Drosophila melanogaster: one gene and its partners. The protein of the gene in region 1 interacts with the protein of each later gene in a pairwise test. Each region holds a gene or a part of one and is shown in the gene's direction. Other genes may lie near its edges.

The links.
Region 2: the proteins of Stip1 (region 1) and CG9117 interact in a two-hybrid assay, tested with the Drosophila melanogaster proteins (one large-scale study listed by BioGRID).
Region 3: the proteins of Stip1 (region 1) and Aldh-III interact in a two-hybrid assay, tested with the Drosophila melanogaster proteins (one large-scale study listed by BioGRID).

The regions. Positions count from the first base shown.
Region 1 is NT_033779.5:293,256-297,986, forward strand, and holds Stip1 (stress induced phosphoprotein 1), read left to right. Parts: upstream 1-1,866; 5' UTR 1,867-2,016; coding exon 2,017-2,025; intron 2,026-2,090; coding exon 2,091-2,373; intron 2,374-2,448; coding exon 2,449-3,556; intron 3,557-3,721; coding exon 3,722-3,794; 3' UTR 3,795-4,194; downstream 4,195-4,731. Other genes in the region: U2af38 (U2 small nuclear riboprotein auxiliary factor 38), read right to left, coding at 367-1,117, 1,186-1,229.
Region 2 is NT_033779.5:6,036,477-6,039,798, reverse strand, and holds CG9117 (uncharacterized protein), read left to right. Parts: upstream 1-1,896; 5' UTR 1,897-1,983; coding exon 1,984-2,670; 3' UTR 2,671-2,802; downstream 2,803-3,322. Other genes in the region: CG31643 (uncharacterized protein), read right to left, coding at 1-1,596; mtm (myotubularin), read left to right, coding at 2,988-3,322.
Region 3 is NT_033778.4:7,474,143-7,478,992, reverse strand, and holds the start of Aldh-III (aldehyde dehydrogenase type III), read left to right. Parts: upstream 1-1,830; 5' UTR 1,831-2,746; intron 2,747-3,433; 5' UTR 3,434-3,498; coding exon 3,499-3,553; intron 3,554-3,612; coding exon 3,613-3,651; intron 3,652-4,333; exon of another isoform or gene 4,334-4,421; intron 4,422-4,850.

The DNA.
Region 1 (4,731 bases):
TCTTCTGGATGTTATCCATACCTGTGAGGAGTCTTTTATTTTGAGTGCCTGGACTTTTTGACAATTAGACCCATTTCTTACTATGGCTTCCAGTATAATATTACTCAATTTTATTATTATGAATGTATGTATAGTAAATTACAATTCTAATGGGCGCTCGGTAAAATATTTCGCGGGGGGTTTGTACATAGGTGGTGGAACTCCCCATCGTCATTTTCCTCCTCCTCCTTCCATCTCGTTTACTCAAAAGTGATATAAAAACGTGGAAAACCAACGCAGAGACTAAAATACACGATGCTTTGCGTTACTGCTTGTCCGTTGCTTTCTCTCTCAATTGCCACCGTACAGAAAAAATGTCCAGAATATTTAATACCGTCCACCACCACCACCGCCTCCTCCGCCACCACCTTTGCGGCGATCGCGATCGTTTCCGCGATCATTGCCACGCATGTTGTCCCGCTCGTTGTTCAAGTAGTTTCCTCCGCCGACACCGTCGCCTCTGCCGCCTCCTCTTCGACCCGGGGATCGGGACCTGCTGCGGGAGCCGCGACGGCGTCCAGGGGATCGGGAACGGGAGCGGGCACGACGGCGGCGGGAGTAGAGGTACCTTCGCAGCTCACGCGAGATGGGCTTCAAGTGCATGAAGTTGCAGAAGCCGGAGCGGGTACATTCGCCCATCTCGTACTGCCGACAGCAAGCCTCGCGGAAGTCGGTCACCGGCGATAGTTCCGAGTACACCGGTCGACCACCGAACCACCGGTTGTTCAAATCGTTTGCCGCCTTTTCCGCATCAGCCTCGTTACGGAATTTGATGTACACATTGCCGACCAGATGGTCGCCTAGGTTGTCGCACACGTTCATCTCCTCGATTTCCCCGTACTTGTCCTCGCACTCTACGAACACGTCCTCGAAAAAATTGTCGTAGTGTTCTTGCATCTCCTCGTCGGAGACGTTGGCCACCAGATGGGAGCCATCCGCGGATTTGGCGGAGTTTTGGGGGTTCACGTATAGATTTTGGAGAAGCACCGTCTGCGAGAAAGTGGGTTTGTTGTGGATGCGAGAGCACCGGTCGCCGTGGCGGCAGGCGCCGATCTTGAAGTAGAACGAACAGTTCACCCTGGGAAATGCAACGCCATTTAGTTATTAATCCCGGCAACGTTAAAATAAATGTGCCATGCGACTTACTTGTCCTTTTCCGTGCCAAAAATGGATGCCAAGTACTCGGCCATGCTGGCGGCTTTACTGTGGTGTTGCTGTGGCCAAAATGTGTAACTTATCTACCCGCTTGTCTCTGCAACGCGGTCAAACTGCAATTATGTTAGCCGCCTGTTTATTTAGTGATAATTTTCAATTATTTTCGGAAACCGAAAAAAGCAGCGTCTGGTCGTATTTTGCACGGCGTTGCCAGCCTCGAATCTAGAGTTGCAAATAAAATCGATGATTAGTTATCGATATTTAGTGTTTTTGGCAGCATCGTTTTTCGATACCTCTGTTCTTAATTTAAATGTTTTAAAATATGCTAACATTTTAAATATTAATTTCAAATATTTAAATATTAATGCACTTAAAAGCCTGAGGACTTATTTTTCATTTGACTAGAAAAATTTTACAATTCAAAATAAGAAATTGAGAAAATTATTTACGCAAATAATAATATAATATAAACATAAATAAACAATACAATAAAATAACATTTAAATTCTATAAAGCTCAAGGTATTATTTATATTTGATCAACAATTTTTTTAATTTATATAAGCAATGGAAAAAATTATTTAAGAAGGCTTGCTGGTTTTGTTCCCCGCTTGAGAACGAGCTAAGTTCTAAACCGCAGTCTGGAAAAAGATTAAATTCAGTCGCAGAAGCATTGACAACCCTATCGATTGCTTCTAGAAAAGTCGGCATTTTTCGCATTTTCACCTGGCACGGCACATTTCGCAGCGTGTTTTATTAAAAAGTCGTACAAAAATACAGGAAAAACTGTAATTCGACAGCGCTATCCTCTCCCTTATCAGAAATGGACAAGGTAAGTGCCCGAGACAAAGGAAAGGCGTTGGCATTTCCAATCAAAAACCCTTGCGGTTTTCGCAGGTGAACGAACTCAAGGAAAAGGGTAACCAGGCGCTCAGTGCCGAGAAGTTCGACGAGGCGGTGGCGGCGTACACAGAGGCCATCGCTCTGGACGACCAGAACCATGTGCTCTACAGCAACCGTTCGGCGGCATTCGCCAAGGCTGGAAAGTTCCAGGAGGCGCTAGAAGATGCGGAGAAGACCATTCAGCTTAATCCCACCTGGCCTAAGGGTTACTCACGCAAAGGAGCTGCCGCTGCGGGTCTGAATGACTTTATGAAGGCCTTCGAAGCGTACAACGAGGGTAAGTTCAAACACAGCTCAGTTATATGCCATGAATCACCCGACCTAACCTCACTAACCTCGGTTACCGGCGCAGGTCTCAAGTACGATCCCACGAATGCTATACTCCTGCAAGGCCGCATGGAAACTACTGCCTCGGCTCTGAGCTTTATGCAATCGCAGGGGGATATACCCATGGACGTTGATCCCCAGCAGGCACGCAGCCGCAGGGCTCCATCGCCACCGCCGGCGAAACCGGCTGAGCCCCCAAAGCCCGCTGAACCTCGGGTAGAGGACATGACTGAGGAGCAGAAGAATAAGTACTTCGCGAGGAAGGAGAAGGAACTGGGCAACGCCGCCTACAAGAAAAAGGACTTTGAAACGGCCCTAAAACACTACCACGCTGCCATTGAACACGATCCCACGGATATCACGTTCTATAACAACATAGCTGCTGTTCACTTTGAGCGCAAGGAGTACGAGGAGTGCATCAAGCAGTGCGAGAAGGGCATTGAGGTGGGGCGCGAAAGCCGCGCCGACTTTAAGCTGATAGCTAAGTCCTTTGCTCGCATCGGTAACACCTATCGTAAGCTAGAGAACTACAAGCAGGCGAAGGTTTACTATGAGAAGGCCATGTCCGAGCATCGCACCCCTGAGATCAAGACCTCGCTGAGCGAGGTGGAAGCCAAAATCAAGGAGGAGGAGCGAATGGCCTACATCAATCCGGAGAAGGCCGAGGAAGAGAAGGAGCAGGGCAACCTTTTCTTTAAGAAGGGGGACTACAGCACCGCTGTAAAGCACTACACCGAGGCCATCAAGCGCAATCCGGATGATCCCAAACTCTATAGTAACCGCGCCGCCTGCTACACCAAGCTGGCCGCCTTTGATCTGGGCCTCAAGGACTGCGACACTTGCATCAAGCTAGACGAAAAGTTCATAAAGGGCTACATCCGCAAGGGCAAAATTCTACAGGGCATGCAGCAACAATCTAAGGCGCAAGCCGCTTACCAAAAGGCCCTGGAACTGGACCCCAACAACGCGGAGGCCATTGAAGGCTACCGTCAGTGTTCGATGAACTTCCAGCGCAATCCGCAGGAGGTCCTCAAAAACGCAATGTCCGACCCGGAGATTCAACAGATCTTAAAGGATCCGGCTATGCGTATGATCCTCGAGCAGATGCAAAGCGATCCCAATGCGGTCAAAGAGTAAGTACCCGTTTGGCTTTATTCGTTCGCTTTTTTGGGTTTCATTGGTAAAATCTAGAAATTAATAGCCCATTTGAAGTTAACAAGCAGACTTACGTTTCTTTGGTCTTATATATTATTAACAACCTGTATACTATATTTTAATTAACAACCTCTATATTTCAGACACTTGCAGAATCCTGCCATCGCCGATAAGATAATGAAACTGCTGGAGTCGGGCATCATTCAGATTCACTAGGCACTCCAGATCCACAAACGAACATCCTCATACAATCACTAACTCACACACAAACCCCATTGATAAACATTCAGGAGAGAACCATTACGCATTATTATGGCGTCTCTAAGCTGGTTAACCAATATATCGTTTTTGATGAAACGGGCCACAATTAATGCTAAACGTAATTACCTAAGAAATCACATCGCCTATTCGCAGAACGACGATAACTACCATTAACAGAAATTTAAACTAAAAGGAGAAAACAAAATCATTGATAAATGTCTGCCTAATTGATTTACGCAGACGGGTGGAGTAGGCTCCAAACGTCATGGTCCTTATTTTCTTACTACAATAAATATGCTGTAGCTTAGCTCTAAAATAAGTTTCTGTTTGTACAATAAACGAGTCACGGAAGGGTAAGCTATGATTTTGAATTTGGCGCCCAAGGGCTACAAGATGGGTAACTTACGGCTTAGCAGTCGTTCTCTAACGTTTTTCCAGGGCTGCCAAATTATTTAGAATATATTTTATATTTATACAAAGAATGATTTGCGCCAATCGCCTTTTAAATAAGAAATTTAAATGTTATTATAATGCAAAATCGCATATTTTCGGAAAAAAGCATAGACTGCAAATCTTTATTTTGAAAAAATATAATTTCGAATGAATTAAGTTGTGAAATTAAAATGATTAAAAGCAACAACCTGGCCAACCTTTTTGTAATTATAATGTGTGAAATATTTTGTATTCTTGGGCAGCCCTGTTTCCCGCGCTTACGTTATTATATCCAACCGATACGTAGTTTCGTCTTGCTCAACACTGCAAGCCGCCAGTGCTACAAAGGCCCTGCAGCTCACTCGCAGCAAGTGGCATGGCAACAACAGCGCTGTTCAACACCGCACGATTTCTACCCGAAAATAATGGTGTGCTGATATATTGTGATTAAACCCCAATT
Region 2 (3,322 bases), 5.7 Mb from region 1:
ATGCTGGCGAAACCTTAGTTCGCTGGCTATTTGCATGCCGCGACTGAGGAGAAAGCAATCCTGAATGCCAAGCTGGGGCGCCATTGCGAGCATTTTGCTTAACAAAAAGTTGGGAAATTTCTTCCAGGCCAACGGAGTCTGCCCGTAAGCTAGCACAAAGGATGCAAGTCGTGCGAACTTCGCTGGCAGCCTTCCCGCTATGTCATGCTCAATAGCATTCATGCACATGCGACTTAGCTTTCGTTCCAGTTCTAAGTGACGGTAGGTTCCTCCCAGATTGTTATTAAAGTTCATATAGCGTTGACAGTGTCTCAGGAACCGTAGGTGCAAATGCTTTTCCGGACAGGACTCCAGCTCTTTTACAACTCCTGACCAGTATGTGTTGCAGAATTCAATGTCGGAGACTTTTAGTGCACGCAGAACGCTGAATAAATGTCCGCTCGCATTGGGTTGCTGCCAGGCCTCTTCGGAGTAGAGCAGTTCCTTAAACTGATGCAGATACTGGTCTCTCTGCAGTGGCGTTGCAAAGGGAACTGCACAAAACAGGGCGTCAGCAGTGCCTTCTTCCTGTAGTAACTTTTCAAGGGCTTTCTTGAGCGGCTCTATCAGTGCGGCGGGTTCTTGATGATGCAAAAATGTGCGACAAATGCTCTTTAGATCTGCAGACTCCATCTGGTGTATGCAAGGTCGCAAGACCAGCATGACCTCCCGAATCAATTGGGTGTGGGTCTGCGACCACACTGGAATATTCAGCATGTGGATCACCTTCAGAAGAGCCTTAGGGGTTTCGCTGCTGAGGACGCCGCTTTGCATCATTTCAGTCAAGCGCAACTTGAAGCGCGTAAACAGCTCCTCATCAATGAGAAAGTGTAGCTGAAAGAGGCACGTGGACAGAAGGCGAACCTGCTCTGCGCTGCGACACCAATTGATGTGATGTTCCAGGTGCGGAATAAAGTTCCTACACACAAGCGGAGTGAAGAAGTCGCGTTCCAAGTTGATGCCCACCGAGAGGCGAGACAAGGAGGTCAAGGGAATGACTTCGTCATCAACTTGTGACTCGATTAATTGAAGAGATCTCGTCAGCACGGCCTCCACGACTGCCTCGGAGTTTGGTATATGCATTTTGCGCAGGTACAGGTAGCATCTACTGAGATCATCGATCTCCAGTTGGTGTACATAAGGGGCCAACTTTGGGAGCACGTTAAGCAGCACGCGATCCGTGATGGCATCTTTACTTGCCTGCTCCGCGTCGTGATAGATGTTCCACAGCAGTGAGATTCCCATCACCACATGGGAGCTCTGCAGGCCGTCACAGCTCTCCAACACATCTAAAATCTGGTTACCCGTCTTGGCCTCCTCCAGTCGGGTTAGAAGAGCATCCTGTTCCCGTGGCACGCCAAACTTGTCTTGGAGATCTCCGTTCACCAGCTGCGAGTGCTTCCTCAGTTTTTGGCCCAATGCCGGCAGCAAGGCAGCTGTTTGGATGGGCGGCTTTGCGCCAATGTTAACGTGCCGTCGCAGGAGCTGAAGCTGACGCACTCGCAGAAGGTATTGTAGGTACTTCCATTGTGTCCGCGGCAGGTGGTTCAGATACATGCCACTTTATCTCACGCTTATTCAGAAATCGTTGAATAATAACAAAATTACGCCGTATAAACATGTGAGTGAATTTTTGGCGATCAGCTGGTGTCGGTGTTGCCATGAAATCCTAATTTCCATTATACTGAAACCAATAATGGAATCAATGTGTAAAAAAAAACTTAAAATAATTTCTGAACTGTGATTAGCGGTATACAAGTTAGATAAGTAATTACTTAATTCGTAAGTAATTTGTTTATTTCGTCAAAAGTTTCATAGTGGCAACTCTAGTTTTCAACAGGTTGTTGACGAGTTGACATTTCTGTTTGTAAGCAACAGCTGATAAGCAGCTGACCCTAAATAATTTAATAGGCTAGAGCGTTATCGTTGTTAAACAACTAAACAATGGCATACACTGATCCTGCGCAACGAAACCAGGTGACCGTGCTCCAGGTCGGCTATTCTCGCCAAGAAGAAGGAGACGAGTCCGCCATGCGGGCTAACTGCACATGCACACTGGTCCGCTGCCGGGATGGCACCAACATAATCGTGGACACACTGACGGCCTGGGATGGAGATCACCTGCGTTCGTTGTTGGGCCAGCAGGGACTAGGCGTCGATGACATCCACGTGGTGGTCTGCTCTCACGGACACTCTGACCACATCGGTTGCAACTATCTGTTTCAGAAGGCACGAATGCATTTGGTCGGCGCATGTGCCTCACATCACGACCTCTACATGGACCACCTTGGTAGTGGTAATCCAGACGAGCAACTGGCCCTAGATTCGAATGCCGAGGTGGTAGTGAGGCGGTCGCCAGGACACACCCTCAGCTGCGTTTCAGTTCTTGTGGAAAATTCCCAGCTGGGTGGACGGGTCGGTATCACCGGAGATCTCTTCGAGCGTCGCGAGGACATCGACGATGAGAACATTTGGATGGACGCTGGAAGCGAAAACGAGAAGGTGCAGCGCGAGGAGCGCAGTAAAATGGCACAACTGTGCGAGTTTATAATCCCAGGACATGGTCCGATGTTTTCTGTCACACAATCAATGCGCTGTAAACTTAAAGAAGACGCCACTTCTAACACTTAATTTATTAAGCATTAAATACATATGTTAGAGATTTTTTTAAAAGCGGAATTGTTCTAGCTTTCCTTGATTACCAGTTAAATGTCTGAAATAAGTTGATTAATTCCAATACATAAAAATCAAATTTTCCGCCACTACATAATGTCCCTTTGGTACTTTTGTCGGAGGAATGGGAAATTATTCCAGATGATTTTATATTGCGTGAGTTGGCAGCACTGCTGCATGAGTTTTGGTGAATTGCATTTAGCTAACAATTGGAAAAGAAAACACAGCTGCAACCAGCAACACAATAGCCAAACACCACTCGTGTCCATCCGAAAATGGATCCCTCCGCGAGCCTGGCCGACAAGTTGGCCTCCAAGACTGCCAGCAGCAACTCTCTGGACAGCAGCTCCAAGTCCAGTTCGCTGGGCTCCAAGCACGGTGGCGGAGAAAACGGCATTCTGCGGGACACGCCCTTCGGCTATCTGGAGGGCGAAGAGGACCAGGACCAGAAGAACGACGTGACCTACGTGTGTCCGTACCGCGGCCCCGTCTTCGGCGCTCTTACCATAACCAACTACCGTCTGTACTTCCGGTCGCTTCCCCTGCGGGATCAGGAGCCGCCCGTCGTCGTCGACGTGCCTCTGGGCGTGATCGCGCGTGTGGAGAAGAT
Region 3 (4,850 bases), on another chromosome or scaffold:
ATATACAAGCGTACATAGGTGTGGACTTGACGAGACAAGAGTAAGAGTATATTTTATACGATAAACAAATTTTATAACATATTTAATAATAAATTATACACTAATAATTGTGGACACTGCTCTGCGTTTTTTTCTATCTCACTTGAACACTTGAGTTCCACAGCGCAAGCCTAAAGATAGGCTACTGTATCTCACGGGTGCATAAGAGTTCAACTAGCTAATGGTTCCATATGAATGCTTACAATGGATTGGTTGAATTGAATTGAAATTGAATGGGAACAATCAATATATTTCTGGGTTTTGAAGCCAATCTAAGGTAAGTAACGTACTCCCGGTTGGAGCTCGAAAAACTGAGCGAAGATGTGGATTGCATACGATCGTTCAATGAATCTTAGAATGGATTGATTGAATACCTCGATATGTAATCATGATTGTGATTGAAATTGATTCGGAGCAATTACTTCAAGTCATTCTACATATCTGGTTATTAAAGCCAATCTTAAGTCAATTATGGGTTTCAAACGTAATTGAAACATTATGATACCTTCGAATTGGTTGATAGAATGATTAATTTCAATCTTAGTTACTTTCTGACACAAAGATAAGGCTTTAGCCCATAGATATTTACTTCTCAAATGCCAGCATCTTTAGCTGCCTCGTTTAATGGGTGATGCCGTCACGCGGACCCGGAACCTGGGTCAAGGCCACGCTTCCATCTCCATAGAGCCCACATACATGCGACGCAAATGGGTTGCGGGCATTGTCGAAAAAGTGCCGAGCGGCCATTAGAATGACAAAAGGAATCGCTAAGTACGCCGCTGGGCATAATGAGACTTGGCGAGGCAACTGAAAAGTTGGAATACTATTTGGAATCGCATCAATTGCGTGACTACAATTGCGGCAGCTTTGTGTGCAAAGAGCACCATTCGAAATCACTTTTACAATTGTTTGCTGGCCGTAAAGTTGGGCAAAGCGAGCCAAAGTCCACCGCCAGCTGGTAGCGACCAGCTAATTTCAGTGGCGAGAACAGGTAATTACGGCATTAGAATCCGGACTGATATGCCAATTGGCAGGTTTACTGGACTAAACGCGATCTGTTTAATGGATCTCAGCTCTCGATCTCAAGCAGACGACGTCTGGCACTGAGGTTTTTGTCCGGATCTCATGGTCAGGGTGCGAAGCTGTCCGCTGTGATTCGATGCAAGTGAATACTTATCAATAACCGGTTATTTATTAGCCGTCACTTCACTTGCTGGCTTCTGCCGCAAAACAGCTGCTCGAAATAACAAACACCTGAAAGGCAAATAGTTTATTGTTTACGGGACGATCTTTAGCCTGGCTCGCCCTATTCCTAATTGGCTAGGGCATCGGGTACAGGCTGCACTGCCTAAATAGAACTGATGTCAAATCTCAAATTAAAACTACCTTCATTACAGTCATAATTTCTGGTCAGTAGTTATATCTTGTGCCCTTAACTTTGCTTCTAAATAGCATTTAAAGAATGTAACACTTTTATAAGAGTTTTTTTTTTGCTGTAGCACAGATTTGTTACAACTTTACTTCATGATAAAAAAAAACGAGTCTAGTTGACGAACCCAATAAGTTGCCATGAGCAACTATCAAAAATGTGGATTTAATTTGAGGAAAAACAGATTTTCGCAGGCGCCCAGTTTGTAAATTGGCAGTTGGTGGTTCCAGTTTTTCCAATTAGTGCCACTCTTTTGCAATGTGACAAACGCCTTTTAAACGGCGTGTTCGTTGCACAGAAGCCGGACTGTATCGTCATTCGGATTAGTAGAGAGGTGGCTGGCATCCATCACCATTATCTGGTGACTTTGGGCCGGGAATGCGTGTGCATCTGCGACCTGTGATTAGCGCCGAAGACCCCCATTAAGAAATTCAAATCAAAAGTCGAGATTTGAGATTTAAGATTCGAGATTCGAGATAATCAAGAACGCGAAGAAAACTGAAACTGGAAAAGCGACGACGACTGCGGGTACGGGCCAACTTGGAGCGCTTAGCCGGGCTTAGACGTGTTTCGAGCGCGGCGGCGTCAGGTGAATCCGAGATTCAATCCTAATTCGAATTCGAATCCGAGTGCCCGGTGCGTGTTCAATACGCTTTTGAATACAGCGACTTGTTTGCTGGCTAATTTTTTTTTTTCGAGTGGCGGGCTACGCATACAAATTAGACCAGCACATAGTGTCCATGTGTAATTAAGCGACCCGATTCACTGTAAGCCGCTCCAGCCGAAGTGTGGTCGAGTGCATCGGTCCGGCTTTCCGCCTCCAGATACACGCGGCGGTGGTCAACGGCCAGTGGCCACTTGGCAGTGCTCCGCCACTCAAATCAGTTGGCTTTCGGGCGTTATCGCGCGCAGATTTGCTTGGATTTAAACCAAAGTACCGGATAGTGGTTATTTAATCTACACTCGCGCTTATTAGCCAACTGCGTTGACAATTAGCCGGCCCAGATGCTGGAATGAAAGTGAAACTGGAGACGGAAAACCGAAAACCAAATCCAGTCGAAGTCGGTTACATGATAAACGCCATGTGAATATGTTGTCATACAGAAACGTGATCCCCTGTGCTAATCAATTCAATTCGCATTGAATCATCGAGTGTGTTGGCCAACAGCCATATTTGCATGGTTGAACTTGAAACTGATTACTGATTATGGAGTGCTGGTGCATTTGGGTGTTTTTTCATTGATATATTGTTGTTTCAGCTTTTAAAGACTTCAAATCGTAAGCTTGAATTGTATACGATTTGTTTGATCATTTGCAATTATTTTATTATGTTTATCCCCAAGTCAAAATGTACAAATATTTATGAAAAGGGATCAAACACAGCTGCACTTTCAAATTAATAAAGAAATTGTCGAGTGTCACGACTATTAGATATCCATTACTGAGCGCGAAGAATTCTACTAATAAATACGCAGTATCCAACTTGCTTGCTATTGTAGTTTCCCAGAATTTCTTTTACATTTGATCCCTATAAACTTGGAAATTCTATTAAAAATTCGACTTATAGAAATCCATATTTTTACAAGTATTGTTGTAAACTATTATTCGTAAGGAAGTGCAAAGTTGTGCCATAAACAATGGCGGAAAAAATATTACAATCTAATATGAATACTAGAAATATTGATCATCTATTGTAATATTTCTTGTTTAGACAATATTTCAATCTTTAGTTCACCTTAACCAATTGGCGGGCCAAAAAGCTTGTGTAAGTCAATGTGGAATTTGTGAAGGATTTCGCCAGCTGGTTATTTAATTGATTTTCCCACGAGGACAACTTGACAAATTGACATTGATTTTCATTTGGTTTGCTTAGTTAAGTGTGCAATCTTCTTGTTCGGACATTTGCCACTTAATAGTTAGTAGTTAACCACATTTACCACATTCGTTTCCTGGGAATCCCTACAGCTTTTGTGCTATTTAAAAGTGTCCCCAATAGCGAATTTATAACCAAACAAAAAAACACTACGATAATGTTTGACAACGCGATTAAACCTCATCCGGAGGCCAATGGAGCTCCAATAAATGGTAAGCTAATGAAAGTCTTACTTATCAAAATGCCCGATTTTATAGAGTTTCCGTTAAAGCAGCAGGAGATCGGCCGATAACTACTGTCATTAATATTGGTGAGTCAAAAAGTTCGTATGCCACAAAAGCTTTGCATACAATGTGTATAAAAATAGAAGCAGTACTCAGAGGGTGAAATCTAGTTTTTCCTGTACAGCTTAAAACTTGATCAAAAACTAAGGGGTTTTTAAATTATATGCATTATTGTAAAGTCCAATAATCTTAATAATCTTAATAAGCGTGAAAGCTTTTATAGGACACGCATGTAACATCATTATTTAGCTAAAAATAACTTAAAATCCTCAAACACATTTAGTTTCACTCATGGTGACTCCGTCATATATTGTTTAATCGCACTCATTGTTATATGTCATTTGTTTAATCGGAGTCACCGTTACCAAGCACTATTATCGGAAAGTATAGAAGTGCGATATATAAACAAATGCGTTCGGTTTAAAGTGGGGAGTGTACTATGTCCAACTAATATTAACACCATTGATATTAGCAGATTAGGCTGGAATAACGTTCAGAATGCTCTGAACTTGTGTTAGCCGAGTCCAAAACATACTGATTCGTTATCGGAGCGACACGCTTGACTTTCCCCATCCGAAATCCAGTGTCCATATCAGTTGGTATATAGCTTATGTATGTACATTCTGAACGAAATACACATGCATTCAGTTCTGATAATGAATGCCAGCGGCCCTAGTCGAGTATATGTTCGGTTCGTGGAGTAACAATCCACTCAGTGTCGACCGGCATTTGCGTTGAAAAGGTGTGTTCTGTTCTCGGAGAGATTAAAATAGCGAATTCAGAGTGTTTTTTTTGGGTAAGCCAGCTGTTTTCTGTGCACCGACTGGATATGCTTATTTATGGTGCAATTAGGTTGCGCCATTTAGTGAACAACCAGTTGTTTTCGTTGGAAACGAGTATTACTCTTTTGCAGTTGTGCCAAAATAAATAAGTGTTTGAAAAACTGTTACGTGTTTGCATAGTTTAAGTTTACCGCTATGGAAAGTTACAGACTGAACGACATTAGCAAACACTGGATTAGCAGTGACATGAACCAAGATTAACTTAACACTTACTATTGTTTTACAAATAAAACGAAAACTTAAATGTTTACGCCAATAGACTGTAGTTACATCCCGATAATTTTTAAAGAACCACTTTAAACTTTATTATTGTCGAAATTTACGACTGTAGCTCGTCTTATATTAGGCGCCCTTTGGCACTTTTTAGCTACAAATTCGAAGCC